Mus musculus: one gene and its partners. The protein of the gene in region 5 purifies or fractionates together with the protein of the main gene of each other region. This does not show direct contact. Links are inferred from orthologs where the notes say so. Each region holds a gene or a part of one and is shown on either strand. Other genes may lie near its edges. The genes, in order: Ppp2r3c, Cep78, Cep350, Ppp2cb and Cep43.

Region 1 (3,515 bases), on a different chromosome or scaffold from region 5:
AAGCTCTCCATATAAAGGGAAGTGTGTGGGCTTGTACACTTGCCCACTCTCCGAGATGTGCCAGATTATGCCACTAACTTTAAAAACAAAGAGAAATTGTCCAAATTTGTCTAGTACTAAGACACTATCAACAAATAATATCCTAGTTTTTAAATTAGACAATGCTTTTACCTGTTCTTAGAGGGTCCAAGAAGAAGAAGAACTTCCTGACTGCAGTGCAGACATAGAAGGAGTAGAAGGACTTCTCCAGCCCGTCCAGCTGTGGCAGCGTCGGGATCAGCTCCAGGATGTAGTTCTCCAGGTCCTGGGACAAAGCAAGTTGTCAGCTGTCTGCCCTGACTTCCCACGGGGACAGACGGGAAGCTAGAATTGCAAACCCAATCAAACCCTTTCTCTCTTAAGATTGCTCTGGTTGGAGCATTTCATTACAGCAAAAGACACCATATTAGGGCAGCAAGTCACTATATTTAAACTCTCTGGCACACCTGTATTCCCAATACCTGGGAGGAGGTAGAGGCAGAAGGATCACTGCAAGTTCAAGTCCAGGCTGGCTACAAAGGCTGCAAGGTGAGACTCTGACTCACAAAACCCAAATTAGCAAATATGAGTCTCCTGTGGCGTTTTGTATTTATTTTAACAATTTCATTTTCGCTCTATTTTAGCATTTGCCCGACAGATCAGAGACTCTAAATTCATAAAAGAACAAGCACTCAAACCGGGTATCTAAAATGATCTCTTCCCAGAGCCTTCATGGGCTCTCCCATTCCCCCACTCTATATTATCAAAATAAAATTTCGGACTCAGCTTTGACTTCTTCAGTTCCTTTCCCCGAGTCCCATTCCCTATGCCACACATCCAACCTAGCAGCAAGGCCTGTGATTTCTTTCAGTTTTCCTTTCTTCTTTCCTTTTCACTCCCTTTTCTTTCCTTTGTTCTTCCTTCCTTCCTTCCTTCCTTTCCCTCCCAGTGTGGTAGAGGTGAAGGTAGGATGTGCAAAATGTGTATTTTTAGCTTTTGAAGGGATCTTTGGGATTAATAAAAGGCTCAGTATGTGATCACTGTCTATTGGACCTCCCTGCCACCTTAGCTTTTACTCTGGACACACAGGCTCCCATTTTTACAGACCGGCAGGAACAAGAGTCTATACTACAATGTTGATCTGCATTAAAGGACAAGAACTCTACATTATCCTTGGGAAGGACAAGAGGATGATTAAACACCTCTGAATAGTTAACTCAGTGGCTGACATTTATGCCCAACATACCTTTCTCCTTTGAGCTCTATAAGCGGGCTCCGTTTTAGAGAGAAAAATATAAGCCAAAAAATATACCTACATAATTTAGATAGTTGCCAAAAATATGGAAGTAGCATAGCCATTTTGATCAAGAGGTGTCAATCCCATCATAACCTGACCTAATGACATGCACACCTGATAGGAAACAAATATCCTCCTGGTAACTTACCATGTCCCTCTAAACCTGTGGGTAAAAACAAAGCCACATGAGATTTTTTCCCCTCTATTCTATAAAAAAGGAATTCCCTCGTCTTTTCCAAAATAAAATACTGCGCATATGAGAATACCCAAGAGCTGCTGAGGTGCGATGAAGAGCTTGCTGTGCAAGCTCAAAGACCTGAGTCTGAGCCCTGAAACCCATGGACAGGTGGAGAAAGAACCAAGGACACGAAGTTGTCCTTAACCTTCCCGTGTTCCCTGGCATGTGTGAGCCATACTACTTCTCTTTCTAGCCCCTAGAGGGGCTGGCTAGGGAGATGGCTCAGTGGTTACTGCACTTGCTATGCAAGTGGAAGAACTGGAGTCAGATCCAAGAGCCTACGTAAATGAGAGCATGCTGGTGATCCTCCTGTAACATCAGCCTTAGAAGAGCGACCCAGGGATCCCCAGAGCAAGCTGGCTATCAAACTAGCCATATAGCGAGCTCCAGGTTTGACTCAAAGAGCCCACCTCAACGAGTAAGAAGAAAGAGTAAATAAAGATGGTTCCTGAAATCAACTCAACCTCAGGGCTCCACGTCTGCCCTTGCATACGCCAAACACACATACAAAACCTTTTTTTCTTCAGTAATTCCTTTCTTTTCTTTTGGATCTTGAAGACAAGGTCTCATTACACAGCCCTACCACCTTGGCACTCTCTATTTGGAGCAGGCTAGCTGCAAACTTGCAGTGGTCCTTGTATCCTGGCCTCCTAAGCTAGGATTACAGGTGTGTGGCACCATACTTCACTCGTCAATTCGTTTCTTGGTTTTGCTTTTTTATTAAGATTTATTTGGTGTATATGAGCATTTCATCACTGACACACCAGAAGAGAGCATCGGATACAACCACAGATAGTTGTGAGCCACCATGTGGTTGCTGGGAATTGAACTCATGACCTGTAGAAGAGCAGACAGTACTCTTAACTGCTGAGCTATCTCTCCAGCCCACCTTGTTAATCAGTTTTAAAACCTGTTTTAGATACATTCTATTTACTCATTAATAATGTTTGTTATAAGAGACAGGTGGATTTCTGAGTTTGAGGCCAGCCTGATTTACAGAGTGAGTTCCAGGACAGCCAGGGCTACACAGAGGAACTCTGTCTCAAGAAACCAAAAAAAAAAAAAAAAAACCAAAAAAAAAAAAAAGTTTGTTATATAGCTCAGGTTGGTCTGGAACTCTACATGGAGCTTCAGCTACCTCTGAACTCCCAATAATCCTCCTGCCTCAGCTGTAAAATGCCTGGATTAGAAACATGTGCTAGGATGCTCAGCTTCATTTTCCTTTGAAAAAAGATCAAAGTATTTTTCTAAAGGCTGAAAAAAAAAAAAAGAACCCAAAAGACTATTTACGTGGTTAACATATACTAAAGTTAAACGTTTACAAAGGCAAAACCAGGCAAACCAAACTTATTAAGATAAAATCAAGCAACGTAAGTCTTAGCTACAATGACAACTAGTTGGTGGTAATTAGTGTTAATATTCTGTTGTCTATAATGTTTATTAAATTTAGGTCAATACTCACTGATTCCCGAAGGTATCCTTGGCCAGCAACATCATATAAACTGAGTCCTATTCTTGTCTGATGCAGCCAAACTGACAAACGGGAAAATTGCACGTAAATACTAACATCTGTTCTTTAGCACATATATGAACAAAAGAGTAAGGCGCTAGAAGTGTAGGCCAATTCAAAAACTCCACAAAACCCCATTTTACACACATAAGTAATCGGCGACCTGGAAGACATTTAAGCCAAAAGAAAAAGACATGAAACAGCAGATCTCAACAGTTCTGCCATGTTTACAACGACGGTAAAACGGATACCCTTGGGGATATTGGTGTTCCACCAAACAGAGAGAGCTGGCACTACATTGTGTCTTCAGTGAAGCCTGTATCCTCCTGGGGTTAATCACTGCAGCTAAGGTATTAATTATCAACGGTACACAGTAAGATTCTGCAGACCACATAGTCTTAGGAGATTCATAACAACTCCAAAATATGTTAATACAGGCTTCTTGAAAACAC
Region 2 (4,162 bases), on a different chromosome or scaffold from region 5:
ACAGACTAAAAACAACAAACTTATGTTTTAAAAGAAGTGAATGAGGACACAAAAGACTTAACTGTGGACATTTAGCCTGTCATTCATAATGTCTCTTGAATATAGTATGCCTTATAAACAGAAAATCAAACTCATACCTCAGGAATTTATAAATGTGCTTTAAAGTATTTCAGAGAAATGGCTTAGCACTTAGGTGCACTTAACTGCCCTTCCAGAGGACTGGGTTCCATTCCCAGCACCTATGGTGGGTGGGTCACAAATGTCTCAAATGCCTATAACTTCAGGTCCAAGGCATCTGACGCCCCTTTCTGATATCCCTAAGCACTGTGTACACGTGTCACTCACACACACACACACACACACTGAATAAAAATATAAGCAAATCTTTTACAAATGTAACTGAAATGGTGGCTAGAGACAGCTCTTCTTTCAGAGGCTCTGAGTCTGGTTCCCAGCACCTACACTGACTGGCTCACTACCACCTGTAACACCAGTTCCAGAGGATCTGATGCCTTCTTCTGGTCACTCTGGACACTTGCACACAGATAGCATACAGGCACGTACCCATAAATAAATCCTTAAAAAGAATAAAACAGACTGATGTATTTATTACCCAGAGTTCACTTTGTTTCTGCTCAAAGTAATTCATTTTAATGCATAACTAAATAACATGACATAGGGAATAAAATAGCTCAACTTAACCACTGCTGAGTGAATCCCAAGTTCACTTTCCATAGCTATTATGCTCAATGTTACTAACTCTGTTAAAATCATTAATAATAAAACCGTAATGAAATTATGGTCTCTCTGTGATACAGGAGTCGTCTTCGAGTTTATTTAGAGTACTAACATTGAAAACTAGTAAGAGTTCGAGGCCAACCTAGTCTACAAAGTGAGTTCCAGGACAGCCAGGACTGTTATACAGAGAAACGTTGTCTCAAACAACACATAGAGAGATAGAGAGGGAGAGAAATATCCACCATCAATGGAGGATACTAAGCTAAACTCTAGCTTTGCCTAACCCAAAGAAGAGAGGAAGGAAGCCACCTGGTTTGCATACGTGTTGGGAAATTCTTCTTGTGACTTCTCTCGGTGAGGAAGCATAAACAGTTGAGCGCTTCTAACAGTCTTCTCGAGGCTAAACCCGCTTCTCAGTTCTCAGGTCAAGCCCGGTTCTCAGGTCGTCACTCCATTGCACCTCACTTTTGGTACCCAGAGGCGCGCTCACTGCAGAGCATCTACTCGCCTCCAGCTGATGGCGCGTTGGACGTAGCGAGCCCGGGTGGGCGTGGCCCGCGCTCTGACGCACAGCGAGCGCGCCGACGCATGCGCACGTCGCCCGCGGGAGCTCGCCGGTGACTAGAACGGCGGCGGCGGCTCCCAGAGCGGGCGCTAACCGCCCGAGGCGTGGCGGGAGGCGGCGCGGGGCGGCTGGTGGAGGTCCCCGGGGTTGCCGGTCATGATCGACTCGGTGAAGCTCCGGCGCGACTGCGCGGCCGACTTCTTCTCGCACTACGAGTACCTGTGCGCGCTGCAGGACTCCGTGCCGCTGCCCGCCGTGCGCGCCTGCCTGCGGGACGGCGTGCTGGACTTCAATGCCGACCGGCTGCGCGCGGTGGACTGGGCACCGCTGCTCAGCACGCTCAGGGTGAACCGCGACCTGCCGCTGGTGGCCATCAAGAGCTCCTTCCAGCCGTGGCTCGGGGAAACAGTTCTGCGGTCCGGAGGTGCGAGGGTTTGGTCGGAGAAGTGGGAGCCCGGTGCAGGATCAGCCTGCGAAGCGGCCTCCACCTAGCCACAAAGGAGTTTTTGCCGCCGCCTCCCTTGCAGGTTGCCGCCTCGGTCCGTTGTCTGGAGTAGTCAAGCTAGGGAGTAGAACTCGACACTGCCCCTTATTACAGCGAGGATGACCAACTCTGCACCCCGAGGGGAATATGCGTGATAATTTAGCAAATGGTCCCTGCCCTCTCTTCTTTTAGGGGTTTAAATGTACAATCTCCCTTCATTCGTAATTGCAAGTTTAATACAGAAAAGGAGAAGGTTAAAGATGGAAAGAAAAAAATGTATAACAAAAAAATAATCAGGGACGTCTTTTTTGATTTTTAGAAAAATATTTGAGGGTTTTGCCTTCGCGTGTGTATGTGCACTATGTGTGTGCAGTGCCTGCGGAGTACAGAAAAGGGGGTAAGAGGTCGGAGTCCATATGTGAACCACCATATGGATGCTGGGAACCGAACTCGCATCCTTTGCAAGAGCAGCAAGTATGTCCAACCATTGAGCCATCTCTCCAGCCCAAGGGACTATTATTATTTGTTTCTTTTATTTATTTATTTATTTATTTATTTATTTATTTATTTATTTATTTATTTATTTATTTGAGAGACAGGGTTTCTCTGTGTAGCCCTGGCTATCTTGGAACTCACTCTGTAGACCAGGCTGGCCTTGAACTCAGAGTCTGGCCTGCCTCTGCCTCTCGAGTGCTGGGATTGAAGGCGTGCGCCACCACTGCCCGACTGGAACTATTATTTTTGACGAACCCGTTGTAAAACAGTTGACTCTGGTTATTTGCAGATAACGTATTTACAAGTTCCTTTCATTTGAATTTTTGTAACTCCCAGCCAAGTCTTTGTGGTGCTTCTATGGTCATTCATGAACACCCGCCCAGAAGCCAAAAAAAAAAAATTACCATCCAATATATATGTTCCTTACTGATTTGCATATTTGTGTGTTTGTGTATCTTAGTATTGGCGTATGTGCACACTCAGAAACAAGAAAGGGGTGTTGGGTGTCCTTTGATGGCTCTTCACCCATTTTTTAAATTTATTTTTTATTTTATTTTATTTATTTATTTTTTGAGAGAGACAGGGTCTGTTTTCTTAGTTTGGCTGGAAGCCAATAAGCCCCAACTGCTCTCTTGACTCCGCCCCTTCCATGCTGGAGTTAGAAGTCCTGCTCCTGACGCCTGGTTTATGTGGGTTCTGGGATCACGGAACTCCAGTGCAGCAAATGCCCTTAACTACTGGGCCATCCTTCCAGCTGATTTTTCACACTCCGTTTTATTTTTAGATTTGCAAATAGTTGTTTGTGTGTTTATATGTATGTGGCATGTGTGTGCACACACGTGTACGTGGCATGTGTACACATACACACGTTGTGTGCATAGAGTCTAGAGGTTGGCCCTGAATGTCTTTCAGCTTTCCCATTTGTTTACTCAGGCAGGTTCTTCTCCCCTTCCTGCCCCGCCCCCCCCCCCAGGGGACTCACTGATTCCTTTGTCTGGCTAGCTAGTTTGCCCTAGGGATCATCTTTTGTTCCTTCACAGATTACATATAGGCTTTTACTTTGCTGGCCATCCAAGTTTGGGTCCTCAACATTTTTTCCTGCAAGTACCTTTATCAGTCTGGTCATCTCAGTTCCTAATTTCCTTCTCTATCTCTTTCTCTTTCCTCCTTTCTTCCTTCTTTCCTTTCTCTCCCCCCCCCCCACCCCTTTGCTTTTTTATTTTTAAGAGTGGTATCATGTAAGGAAAACCTGTGTTGTAGGCAACCTAAGGCCAGAGTTTCATATTTTAAATTTAAATTCTCACACATATAAAATCCATTGAAACAAGCCTGTTGTGGATTCTTTGGTTAAAGCGTGTTGTGTGTGCTAAGTGTCTGCAAGTTACTATTGGAAAGGGAAGGTGTGATGAGCTAGATTTGCTAGGGGCAGATTTGAAAGTCTGGCCCTTGACTGCCATAGTAATGGCCCAGATTTAAGGAACGATGAAAGAAGATGACTTAGAGTCAAGGCAGGCCTACCTGATCATGCTAGTATTTTATGTCTAGCATAAGGCATTCTTTGCAATATTTCCATGTCTCATATCCAGTGGGTATAGGCTGTGGGTGTTAGCCTCCTAGACACGACTTGTTTCTCTCTCTCAGCTGTTTTGACTGTACTATTGAAGAAGCTCCTGGCTGGCTTTGCTGTCTTGAACTCAGTTTCCCTCTGTGTAGATGGTCTCACTTAGCACAGAACCAGCACCTACTAACTGCAGTTTGTGCCTCCTTTACACTCTCGCCAGACCTGCTGGAAGGGGTGCTTTTCCTAACCTGTGTGGTTTAGGTGCCTCTCTGGTCATCCCTTTGTCTAATTGGTAATTGGTCCAACATTGAGGCAAGTT
Region 3 (3,515 bases), on a different chromosome or scaffold from region 5:
ACCTACCCCAAAATACTGAAGAACAATCACCCAGTGTTCCAAGTTGCTTTTTAAGGTCTGAATTGGAAGATGAAAAAGAAGAGATTTCTTCTCCTGATATGTGTCCCAGACCTGTGAGTATTTATCTAGAGAAGAGTCTGATTGCCTTCCTTTGTAGCATCCACTAGTTCTGTTTGGGATGACATTTCCCCAGCCTGCTGCTTATTAAATACTATTTTTAGAGGACTTGTAGCTGTTTTTCCATCTGAGGTATAATTGCCCTCTGTTATGTCATGAGTAGTCACCATAGGGTTGTCATGAACACTGTCAGGTTGTAGAAACTGAAACTTCTTTTAAACTACTCTGTTGATGGCCCCTATATACAGTCCACATGTTATATCTCTTTCCACATTCCTTGGAACTTCCCAGTGGTTCTCAGCCCAGGTCTCTTTCACTCGTCTATTCAGTAATGGTTCCCTACAGAGATTAGCAGTTGTGGTGATGATTCTGATAAAACTGAAACAGAGCCTCTATGACATAGACTCAGACTGTCAGCTGTGTAGGTTGCCCATGGATAACTAAGGAAAGGGATGATTTTGATTAACTTGAGCCAGATAATCACCAAAGGTAAGGCTTTTCATTTCCCATGTCAGAATCCTAGTGATAGTCCTTCAGAAATAGAATGATTCATGATATGTAAAAGGAAAAAAAAAACTAATGAATAAATATTTTATTATAAAATTTAATGACTAGGTTTATATAAGCAAAAGAGTGGAAAGAAGATAGATTTTTCTTATTCATCAGTGACCATTATATTGTAATTTTGCATTTCTTACAGAGATATTAAAACACGTAAGTAATAGGTGTGCATTATCTTTCAAAAGCTGTTAGGTAAGGCAAAGTCACTAAATGGTCCTTTATTTGAATGTTTATTTCTATAGGAGAGCCCAGTGTTTGGTGCCAGTGGGCAGGAAGAGCTAGCTAAGAGACTTGCTGAACTTGAGATCAGCCGAGAGTTCCTGAGCGCATTAGATGATCAAGACTGGTTTGATGAAGATTTTGGTTTGAGCTCTTCTCACAAGATCCAAAAGAATAAGGCAGAAGAAACAATCGTACCTCTAATGGCAGAACCTAAGCGAGCACCCCAGAAGCCATGTGAGACATTATTGGCAGTTCCCCATACGGCAGAGGAAGTAGAAAGCCTTGTCCATAATGCAGCAGAGGAGCTTTGGAAATGGAAAGAGTTGGGTCAGGACCTTCATGGCCTCAGTCTTCCTACCACGTTCCTTGGTGGTGCCAGCAAAGGTCTAGACATAGGCAGCACAAGTAGAAGAGTCTACAAACAGGTAACAAAGCACCGCTGTTCTTCGCTTCCCACCCATTGTCTGAAATCTGGATTCTCGACCACTTTCTTACTGTCGTTTTGTTCTTTTTTTCCCCCTTTCTTTTCTTTTCTCTCTGTTAAGGCGGTTTTTGATTTAACAAAAGAGATTTTTGAGGAAATATTTGCTGAGGATCCCAACGTGAATCAGCCTGTCTGGATGAAGCCATGCAGAATCAATTCTAGTTATTTCCGACGTGTGAAAAATCCAAATAATCTTGATGAAATCAAGGTAAGTTGCAAACTCTATTATCTCTTTTGGTTTCCTTTGTATTTATACAGGTCTATAAGTGACATAGAAGTGGGCACTTGTCTATATATACATGAGTAGTTGTTCATGGAGTCAACAGTAATAGTATTGACTCCTGGCCTTTAGACACTGGGCAGTCAGGTCTTACATGCATGCTGGTGTAGTCTATCCCATATATTCATGTATTTTCTTCTGTCAGCAAGTTTTGTTGTTGTTTTTGTTGTGTGTTGTTTGAGATAGGGCCTATGCTGACTTTGAAGTCATAGTCCTTTGTCTTTGAGACTCCCAAGTGCTAAGATAACATCCTTGAGCCACCAGGCCTGGCTACAGAAGTCTCCTTTTCAGAGCAGTACTTCTCAGAGTTAATGTATGTACATAAAAATCATCTGGGGTGTTTAAAATGGAGCTTTTGAGAAAGGAGCCTGAAATTCTGCTCTCAAGTGTACAGTTAATACTGTCGATTCCAGGGTTATTCTTGAGCAATGAGGCTTAGGAGTTGAGTTTTTCAAACTTTCTTAATCCTAAAAAGTCTTCTAAAAAGATTTTATGTTTGCAGACACCAATTTATCTATAAGCTATGTTATGTGTGGTCAGAGGTTGGCAAACTATGAGCCATGGGCTTTATCTAGCCATAGCCTTTACCAATCAAGTACTGTTGGACCACAGGCAGACGTCCGTGTGCTTACCTTCTGCTGCAGTAGTACAGTTAGTAGACAGAAGGCAGATGGCGAAGACCATGTGGCCCACAGAGCCTGAGCTACTTACATTTGATCCTTCACAGAGACGTTTTCACAGTACACTGCACGTTTTATACCTTCCACTCATCCAAGTTAATACATCTCTTGAGTACATCATGTGCCTGTCTACAGACAGAGGAGTAGAATTGGGGCTCACATCAGCAGTTTGAGAATCTTGTCCAACGATTCTGATTTATAAATATATCTTTCTCCTCCACTGAGATCATTGTCTATTGAAATACCTTCAAAAGTAGTAAAAATAAATTGTTAATAACATAATAAGCTAAAATAAGACAAGACACCTAATATAAAGGCCATCATTAAACTGCATATCATATGTATATACATGAAGCATAGACTAGATACTGTATATCATATGTGTATACATGAAGCATAGAGTACACACTGCATACTCACTTTAGTATTAAGTTTTTAATATTTTTAACTTGAAATGGATTTTTAAGGATGGTTGATTAGACACCGTTAATAGTTAAAGTCCCATGCTACAGATGCAGTGGCACATGCCTACCATCTTGGCATACCTAAGCTGAGGCACGAGGATTACAATGAGTTTGAGGCCAGCCTGGGCCATACTCTATCTCAAAATAATACTCTATCTCAAAAACCAAAACAAGGCAGCAGAACTTTGCCATGCCTCCTCTTTCTGAAGCGTTGGCAGTGTTTTATGTAACGTTTGAGATGGAGGCGTGTGCTCTTCTAGTGTAGTATTCTCCTAACTGCTCATGTGGCCTTTCCAGGTCAGAGTTACATGTTAGGTTTTCTTCACCAGTTTCTCTGCTTTGAAGTTAGCAGTGACGTGCTGGAGAGAACTGAGCAGTTAAGCGTGTGTTCTACTCTTACAAAGGACCCAAGTTCAGTTCCCAGCACCCACCCATTTTGGGTGGCTCACAACAGACTGTAACTCCAACCCCAAGGAGTCCAGCACCCTCCTCTGGCCTCCTATGGGAATATGCTTATATGTGCACACATAAGCACATAAGTAAAGTGTTTATTTTTAAAAGAGCAGTGGTTCTTTTAAAAACTCAACTCTGAAGTGATTTCTCTTTAAAGATATACCATTGATTTCCTTTTATATGTTCTATATAAACAAACTTTTAGGTGACTGCAGTCTGAGTGTTTGAGATGCTTTCCCTCCACACTGTAAGAG
Region 4 (3,699 bases), on a different chromosome or scaffold from region 5:
ATTCCTGTTTTTAGGTTAAAGGAGACAACCTAGCTCAGCTTTTAAAGTCCCTTCTGTTAGATTTAGAATATAGTTATTAAAGCAATCTACATTTTGCACTTAAAATTATGAATAAATTAATATGAACCACCTAATGAAATGCTTAGATATGCAACAATCGCCTTTTCAGTGGTCTAACAGTTATCAGTATTTTGACTTTGTTCTGCTTTTGAGTGTAAACTATAAACAAACATTACTTCTGCAGTACCTGTGCACATAACTTGGAATTGAATATAAGGCCTGGGGTGAACACCCCACCAGGCGAATATGTCAGTACAGCTGCCTACTGTTATTACTCAGCAGATATCTGTGGCCTAGCAAGGAGCCCCATACTGGCAATTCTATCCCTCGGAAGGAGAGCCAGGAGTATCAAGGAGATTCAAAGTCTAAAAAACAACCAGCCACAGTTCTAAGTATTTGTATAAAGTTTCAAAATGGCGATGCTTCCATTTAATGTACATCACAGTTAAAAAATGTTTTTCTCTAAATCGGAAATTTTATTTGTTCAGTACACCAAATAGGATGCAAGCACTGTCATGACAAATATACAGAAATATGCAGCTCAACATCCAACAGTAATTTAGTTTAGGAAACTTTAAAGGAAATCTCTTTAATGTTATGACAACATACTCCCAAGAATCTCTTCTTCAGTTAGTCATACATTTCAATAAAATAAAGGATTATGAATTGAAGTGGAAGTCAGCTTGTGAATTCTTAAAAAATAAAACTCCAACTCTATAATCCATGCCAGTTAAACTTGTTAACTAAATTTCCAAGTAAGCGCAAAGGAGACGAAGCAGTCAGTGACCCTTTTTGCTTAACCAGTCAAGAAAAATGGTCACTACCGCCCAGCAGGCAGGCTGTGGGCTGACTCATCTACAACAGTGTGCTAGAGTTCACATTGTGCTAACCGCTCATCATTAGTATGGCACGTTTTGGTCCATGATGTGTTTTAATGTCAAGACATATCACAATTTGTTACAGAAACACAAATAACTGTTGTTTTTAAATATATATGTATATATATATATTTTAAAAAGCCAGGTATACTTCCACATACAAAGACAGGTCCTGGGGAGGAATTTACAGGAAGTAGTCTGGGGTGCGCCGGGTCACATGAGGCTCTCCACGACGAGGTGCTGGGTCAAACTGAAGACTAAAAATGACAAAGAAAATGGTCAGCAAGTAAGCCAGCCAGTAAGACGGAACAGACTGAGCCTCCTTCCTGTAGCTTTCAGCAACGCTGCATCCCACGTGGCTGGGATGACCCTGAACTCATTCGTCACTAGCAACCACACAGTTAGCACTTCACAGCTATGGTGAAAATGTACACGTCTGTTTGTGCCCAGCAGAAGAGAACACTGAATTTTACCAAGTGCCTTTTCTGTCAAAATAGCTATTTGTCTGTTGTGTGTGTGTTTTAATATTAATGTTAGTACACTGACTTTTTCCTATTTTTTTTTATCAACACTGTGGTCTTGGGATAAATAAATGCTATTTGTGTTTTCCTTCTCCAACAGTCCTGAAAGGATGCAACTAACCATAGTAATACGCAAACACTCACAGGAGTCAGGATGTATTCCCAATTTTTTGCCGCTGTAGTTGAGATGTGGTTTCATATAGCCTACAGTGGCCCCAAACTCGCAGCACAGGCTGTGAAATCCTGATCTCCCTGGCTCTACCTTGTCAGTACTGGGATTACAGGCATGCAAGTAGCACCATGCATACATAGCAAGTGTTTTATTTGACAAATGTTTCTGAAACCAGGTTTCATGTATTCCAGGCTGGCCTTGACTCAAACCAACCTGCTTCCATTTCCCAAGTCCTGGGATTACATACGTGCATCACCATGGCCAGTTTACAATGATGGGCTTGAACCCAGGATTTCGTGTATGCTAGGATAAACAGAGTACCAAGAAGGCCGTAACGCCCAGTAGTAAAGGCTTTATTAAACCTAAAATAAGTCAATTTTTAAAAAGGTTTGTTTATGTATACGAGTACACTGTAGCTGTCTTCAGACACCCCAGAAGGTGGCATCAGATTCCCATTACAGATGGTTGTGAGCCACCATGTGCTGGGAATTGAATTTAGGACCTCTGGAAGAGCAGTCAGTGCTCTTAACCTCTGAGCCATCTCTCCAGCCCCAAATAAGTGACTTTTAGTTACATGTATGTCAGATCCCTGGAACTGAAACTAGAGGTGGTTGTGAGCTGCAGTGTAAGCGCTGGGAATGAAGATGGTATCCGTGGAAGGTCAGCCGTGCTGGCCACCAAGGCACTTCCTAGGCCCCCGGGCGGTTACAGTTCCTCTTTTTGTCTGAGTCTTGTTTGTCTTTCTAAGATAGGGTATGTCTGTAGTCCTTGCTGTCCTGAAATTCATGTAGAGCATACACCAGACTGGCTCAAACCCATCTCTGCTTCTGCCTCCAGAGTGCTAGGATTAAGAACTTGTACCACCACACCCGGCTTATGGTTCTCTTAAATGTTTTTCTATTAGCTGTAAGCTCTTGGGAAAGTTTCAATAAACTGTAGGCAGAGGCGGGTGGATCTCTGTGAATTTGGAGCCAGCCTGGTCTACAGAGTGAGTTCCAGGACAGCCAGAGCTACAAAGAGAAACTTTGTCTTGAAAAAAAACAAAACAAAAAAAACCCCACTTTCTGCAGCAGTGGCCTAGCAATGCAGGAGGCCATGGTTTACGAGTGCTGCACATCAGAAAGTTCTTGAGTTCAATGTTGGGGAAGAGGGTCTGCACGCACACTCCTCCTCCTCCCCTGTCATAAGCAGAGCTCTTTTTTTTTTTTTTTTTTTTTTGGTTTTTTGAGACAGGGTTTCTCTGTATAGCCCTGGCTGTCCTGGAACTCACTCTGTAGACCAGGCTGGCCTCGAAATCAGAAATCCTCTTGCCTCTGCCTCCTGAGTGCTGGGATTAAAGGCATGTGCCATCACGCCCGGCTTCCTGTCTCTTTTCATACATGCATGTGTGTATGAGTGTATGCACACATGTGTGCAGGTATCTATGGAAGTCATACTAGACTGTAGTTAAGTGCTCTGAGCTGCTGAGCCACCTCTCCAGCTCCCAAGGCTATTTTCCTCTAAAAGTCATTACATACAATTAAAATGTAAAGTTACTTACAATGAATATTTTAAAGTGTCATCTAATTCCATGATAGCAGCCTGGTTCCCACAACGGTAGCAGTAATTGGGCGCACTAAAAATGGTGACCACATTCCGATCATGGCACCAGTTATATCCCTGCAACATTAAAAAGGTCATTGTTTCATTATAAAATCCAATTTTGACAGATCAAGTCACAAATACTTCGGTGGCTATGTTACCTTTTATAATCTAAGTTTATGCAACTGTTCAGACTTTTAAACATTTATTAGGTACAAGATTCTATTATATACCTCAGTAACCATACAGCTTTTCTTAACCTACACTTAAGATTTTAACTTAGAATATACACTGAATTTCTCAGAAAACCATAGTAACTTCCCCATTTTCCTTCATAAACTTTGCTAAGTATTTTATTTTATTTTGAGAAAGAATTTTGCTATTTAGACTACCCTGTTCTCAAACTTGCAATTGCCCCAGCCTCCCAAGTGCTGAGACATGATAGAAATGAGCCTGGCTTCTAAAGTTTGCTACTAAGTTTGCTTGA
Region 5 (3,994 bases):
TCCAGCAGGTGAGCTAGTCATTCCACCCTCAAATATTTTCTAAAGATAAATCCCAGATCCCAGCAAAGATCTGGACATGACCATTCACAGCAGCATTATCCACAAGTGAAAAACAGGGACAACCCAAATGTGGTATCAAAGCGTAAGTGGCTAAGCAAATAAAACTATCCACTCAGTGACTAATGCAACAATCTACCATTCCTGAAAACAGGACTAAGTGGAATAATAAGATACACTACAGCATTATGATGATTATCAGACATAAGTGAATTTTACACATTCCCATTTGCATGGCTTTGAAACTAACTGAGATGCTGGGGAAGGTTGGGGAAGGCAAACTCAAAGGGTTGTGCCTAGATTTTCTTTCTTGGTTGTGTTCCTCACATTCCATAAATAGTAAAGTTTATCAAATCTGACATTTTAAGGTATGCATTTACAGAAACAACTATACCTTAAGTTAAAGAGGGAGAAAAATCACAGAAGTACATGGTATAGAGACTCTAGGACGCTGAGTTAACCGAACTGGTCTCTCAAGGAGACCAGAAGGACAGATTCAGGCATGTGCTACAAATGGCCAACCCAGGACAGCTGAAGACCTGAGACATAGGATGAGGGCACCCATGACAGATGGGGAGTAGCAAGTGTCACTCTGGAAAAGCTGTAACTAAGCCAAGAAGGGCAGGCAGACACTGCCAGGAGATGACAGAGCAAGGGCAGAGCAGGCCTGGAAAACTCATGGACATCAGTCTGTTACACGGCCTAACCTAACACGCAGGTCTGAAGCTCGGAACGGGAGCTGTGCACCAGACACGTGACAAAGTTACCAGTGGTGTTAAGGTTGCCTTGGGGAAGCTGCAGACTAAGCACTGGGGCAGGACACCGACAACTGAAGTATGGTACGCAGGGAGGAGATCTTAAAAGAAACCAAGGACTAGGCAAAAGGAAAACACTTAGAAAAAGGTTCCCAAGGTCAAAACATTTCCAAAAATGAAAGAGGGGTCACTGTTAGATGGTGCAACAGCCAGGCGAGCTGGGTGACAGCTGAAGCATACTCAAGTGGAGGAACCTTCTAGAATGTAGCAAGAGACGTTTCGGGTATAGCAGTACTGTGTTTAAATGTTTAATGGAGCAAGGGATACCTCGTAATAAAAAACATCATGAGATGTACAGTTCAAACTTTGCCTGTTAAAGCAGGAGAAAATCAAGAATAAAACGATTTTAAGAGCAATTAAACATTTTTGTGCTCAAAAGAGCCAGCAGAAAAGAAATCAAAGACACAGTATTTAACTAAGGAGATGAGAATACATAGCAGACAAAACCAAACAAATTATATTGGCAAGACCGAGCCTCTTCTCTGAAAGTAGGAGTACAGCTAGACGGATACAGGTAACCTTCCTGAACTGACAGACTGGGATAGCAGCAACAGGGCACAAGTTAGGACCCAGGAGCTTCTCTTGTTCCTGTGAGTGAAGGATCAGGTAAGAAAGCTAAAGGGGACCAGACGGGAGAACCCCAGACCCTGCTCAGTTACAACCCACCACTACGGAACTCACACAGTCACCTGGCTAAGTGACTTTTCTTTGGCAATGCTTATGCAGAAACAGGTTAAGAAAATAATTCACTGGATCAAATGATAATTACTGTTTAACTAGAAAGCAAAGAAACATGAGACTCCCAAGGGTGGACAATGGGACCCAGCCTGGCCAAGAACCAACCAGTAAGGATGAAGAGGAGAAAGTTAAGAGCAGGTAGGTTAAACAGGGCCACAGCCGTGGAAGGATGGAGGCAGATCTGTCACACAGTAAGACTTTGATTCTCCTGTGATTCTTACTGACAAGGAGTTACAGGACATTTACTCAGGATGGTTGCTGGGGCCTGGGGTAGGCAGAAAAGCCAAGTTATTAAACATTCAGGTCTCACTAGATTTCTTTTTTGGGGGGTGGGGGGATAAGATCAGAGATGTTTTTAAAGTAATGGTCAGATTTTTAACCAACCAATCAGAATTTGGGAAAAGGTTCCAGTGTGCATTCCTTACTGCCAAGACATTTGAAGTGTACTAGCTTATAAAAATTTCAAAGTAATACTTCCGGTAACTCAACGAACCGCTTTCACGTGACTCCTGCACCTGAGCCTTAGCTACTACTGTCTCCCGAAATTCCTGTGCTACTTTAAGGCCACTCTAAACGTGCAAAATGATTTAGAAAATGAGTATTGGTAAAAGCCCAATCCTTAGCCGTTCAGAAGCATCCCCGGTTAGTTACTGAACTATTTCAGGACGGCTTTTCATTTATTAGAAACCGGGCATTAAGAGGTACGGCATGAACAAGGTCTGGGGATCTCTTACCTCTACTTTTTCTTGTTCTTCTAGTGCTAAAAACACAGCCGCTCTGAGTTCAGCCTTCAAAAAAAAAAAAAAACCACAAGATTATAAGTCAGTTTCGCAACCTGAAAGAACGGGGGCAGACACGAGGGTGCCGGCCGCGCGGGCAGCGAGCGATGGAAGGCGACGGGCCTGTGCGCTCCACACCCGGCCCACGAACTCGGGCCAAGGCCCCACGGCCGCGTGGCCGCCTCGTGCCGGCGTCCCGCGCAGCCCCGAGCCCCGGCGGCCGCCCCGCCGCACCTTGATGCGGTTCAGCACGCCGCTGTTCTCCAGCGTCTGCACCAGCAGGTCGCGCAGCTCCGTGTCTTCCTCGGCCACCACCGCGGCGGTAGTCGCCGCCATCTTGCTTCTCCAAGACAACCACCCAAGCCGCGCTAACGGCCAACGGCCGCCGCGGAAGCCACCCGGCCCGCGAGCGCGCAGTCGCAGCCCCGCCCCTCACGCGGGGAAGAAGACCTACGGGGTGGGGCCTTCAGGCCGGTGTTTGGGTTTCATGACGCGAGGGGCGAGGTCTCAGCGTGTCGTTTATGGGCGGAGCCATGGACACGGGGCGGGGTCAGGCTCTGGTGACCGGGTCAGGCTCTGGTGACGCGCTCTGTGGCATATTAACAGAATTATATTAGAAATTTCACTAAATTGCACTTAATTTCCCCATTCCTGTGCGAGAGAAGAGTCCACTTTGGCTGAACTTACTGGCTCGACCCGCTTAGATGGCGGTGTCGGGGGGAGAGGCTCTGGGAGGGAGGGACAAGAGGAACTGCGGAGCGGAGACTCCAAGTGGGCGGAGTAAACTGCGGGGCGGGGCCTTCCAAGGGGTTGTTTCTAAGCGTGAGCAGCAAGTAGGCATTCTATTCTCGCCTCTGTGCGTGTATACTCGCTCAGCTTAAGCCGGTTTTGCTCGGCGGCGGGGTCTGCTGTCTCTGGAACCTTGCTCTTATTCTTTTGAAAGAGCAATCGGCCAGGAGAGGAAATTCCAGGCTGCCTCATACATGGGAAGCTTCAAACGTGTTGGCTTGGAACTTCACAAAGTTTCCCCATACCGGTCTGTAAAAGGGTTGTGGACTCATTTCCAACCACGCAAGTGGCCTGTGCAGTATGAATGCATATTCACGTAGGAATAAAGTTAAACGCTTTCTGTGCTGCTTTTTATGAGAGAAACTAGAAGAGTGGTTTTTTTGTTTGTTTTCCTACATCTTCCAAGAAAGGAACCATTGAGAGGTTAATTTTTAAGCCTGGCCTTAAGGAGAACAGTTAGGGGGTTAGAAGGGTCACACCGAACACTGAGGACATTGGTTAAGAGGGAGCAAAGAGTACTTCCCATGCTGGCAGTCTAATTACAATCGGGGCACAGGAAAGGAAATGGGTTTAATAGATCAGGAAAAACTAAGAGGAGTCCTTGTAGTGTGCAAACTTCAAGCTAGGGCCAGATGAAGGGGAGAGTGCTCCAGTAAAGGAAGAAACTCGTCTGTGTGCAGTGAAAGCAGCACTGGTGTAGTTGGCAGAAGGAACCAGGAATGGGGGTTGGGAGGCTGGTCCAATGCAGATGACACACTACTGTGGAGAATGACGGGCTTGAGGCATTAGCTGATCTGTAGATCGGATACTCAGAAA

What was found.
Region 1: the proteins of Cep43 (region 5) and Ppp2r3c purify together in Homo sapiens (affinity purification with mass spectrometry; 3 studies listed by BioGRID and IntAct, counting the BioPlex papers as one, with this or other methods). This does not show direct contact. The link is inferred for Mus musculus from reciprocal best matches to the Homo sapiens genes CEP43 and PPP2R3C.
Region 2: the proteins of Cep43 (region 5) and Cep78 purify together in Homo sapiens (affinity purification with mass spectrometry; 3 studies listed by BioGRID and IntAct, with this or other methods). This does not show direct contact. The link is inferred for Mus musculus from reciprocal best matches to the Homo sapiens genes CEP43 and CEP78.
Region 3: the proteins of Cep43 (region 5) and Cep350 purify together in Homo sapiens (affinity purification with mass spectrometry; 6 studies listed by BioGRID and IntAct, counting the BioPlex papers as one, with this or other methods). This does not show direct contact. The link is inferred for Mus musculus from reciprocal best matches to the Homo sapiens genes CEP43 and CEP350.
Region 4: the proteins of Cep43 (region 5) and Ppp2cb purify together in Homo sapiens (affinity purification with mass spectrometry; 4 studies listed by BioGRID and IntAct, counting the BioPlex papers as one, with this or other methods). This does not show direct contact. The link is inferred for Mus musculus from reciprocal best matches to the Homo sapiens genes CEP43 and PPP2CB.

The regions. Positions count from the first base shown.
Region 1 is NC_000078.6:55,289,489-55,293,003, forward strand, and holds part of Ppp2r3c (serine/threonine-protein phosphatase 2A regulatory subunit B'' subunit gamma), read right to left. Parts: intron 3,227-3,515; exon of another isoform or gene 3,087-3,226; coding exon 3,016-3,086; intron 305-3,015; coding exon 172-304; intron 1-171. UniProt on the Homo sapiens protein: May regulate MCM3AP phosphorylation through phosphatase recruitment. May act as a negative regulator of ABCB1 expression and function through the dephosphorylation of ABCB1 by TFPI2/PPP2R3C complex.
Region 2 is NC_000085.6:15,982,178-15,986,339, reverse strand, and holds the start of Cep78 (centrosomal protein of 78 kDa), read left to right. Parts: upstream 1-1,350; 5' UTR 1,351-1,459; coding exon 1,460-1,727; exon of another isoform or gene 1,728-1,830; intron 1,831-4,162. UniProt on the Homo sapiens protein: Centriole wall protein that localizes to mature centrioles and regulates centriole and cilia biogenesis. Involved in centrosome duplication: required for efficient PLK4 centrosomal localization and PLK4-induced overduplication of centrioles.
Region 3 is NC_000067.6:155,858,246-155,861,760, reverse strand, and holds part of Cep350 (centrosome-associated protein 350), read left to right. Parts: coding exon 1-113; intron 114-920; coding exon 921-1,325; intron 1,326-1,445; coding exon 1,446-1,592; intron 1,593-3,515. UniProt on the Homo sapiens protein: Plays an essential role in centriole growth by stabilizing a procentriolar seed composed of at least, SASS6 and CPAP. Required for anchoring microtubules to the centrosomes and for the integrity of the microtubule network.
Region 4 is NC_000074.6:33,616,618-33,620,316, reverse strand, and holds the end of Ppp2cb (serine/threonine-protein phosphatase 2A catalytic subunit beta isoform), read right to left. Parts: intron 3,291-3,699; coding exon 3,172-3,290; intron 1,196-3,171; coding exon 1,123-1,195; 3' UTR 513-1,122; downstream 1-512.
Region 5 is NC_000083.6:8,164,328-8,168,321, reverse strand, and holds the start of Cep43 (FGFR1 oncogene partner), read right to left. Parts: upstream 2,805-3,994; 5' UTR 2,726-2,804; coding exon 2,624-2,725; intron 2,399-2,623; coding exon 2,345-2,398; intron 1-2,344. UniProt on the Homo sapiens protein: Required for anchoring microtubules to the centrosomes. Required for ciliation.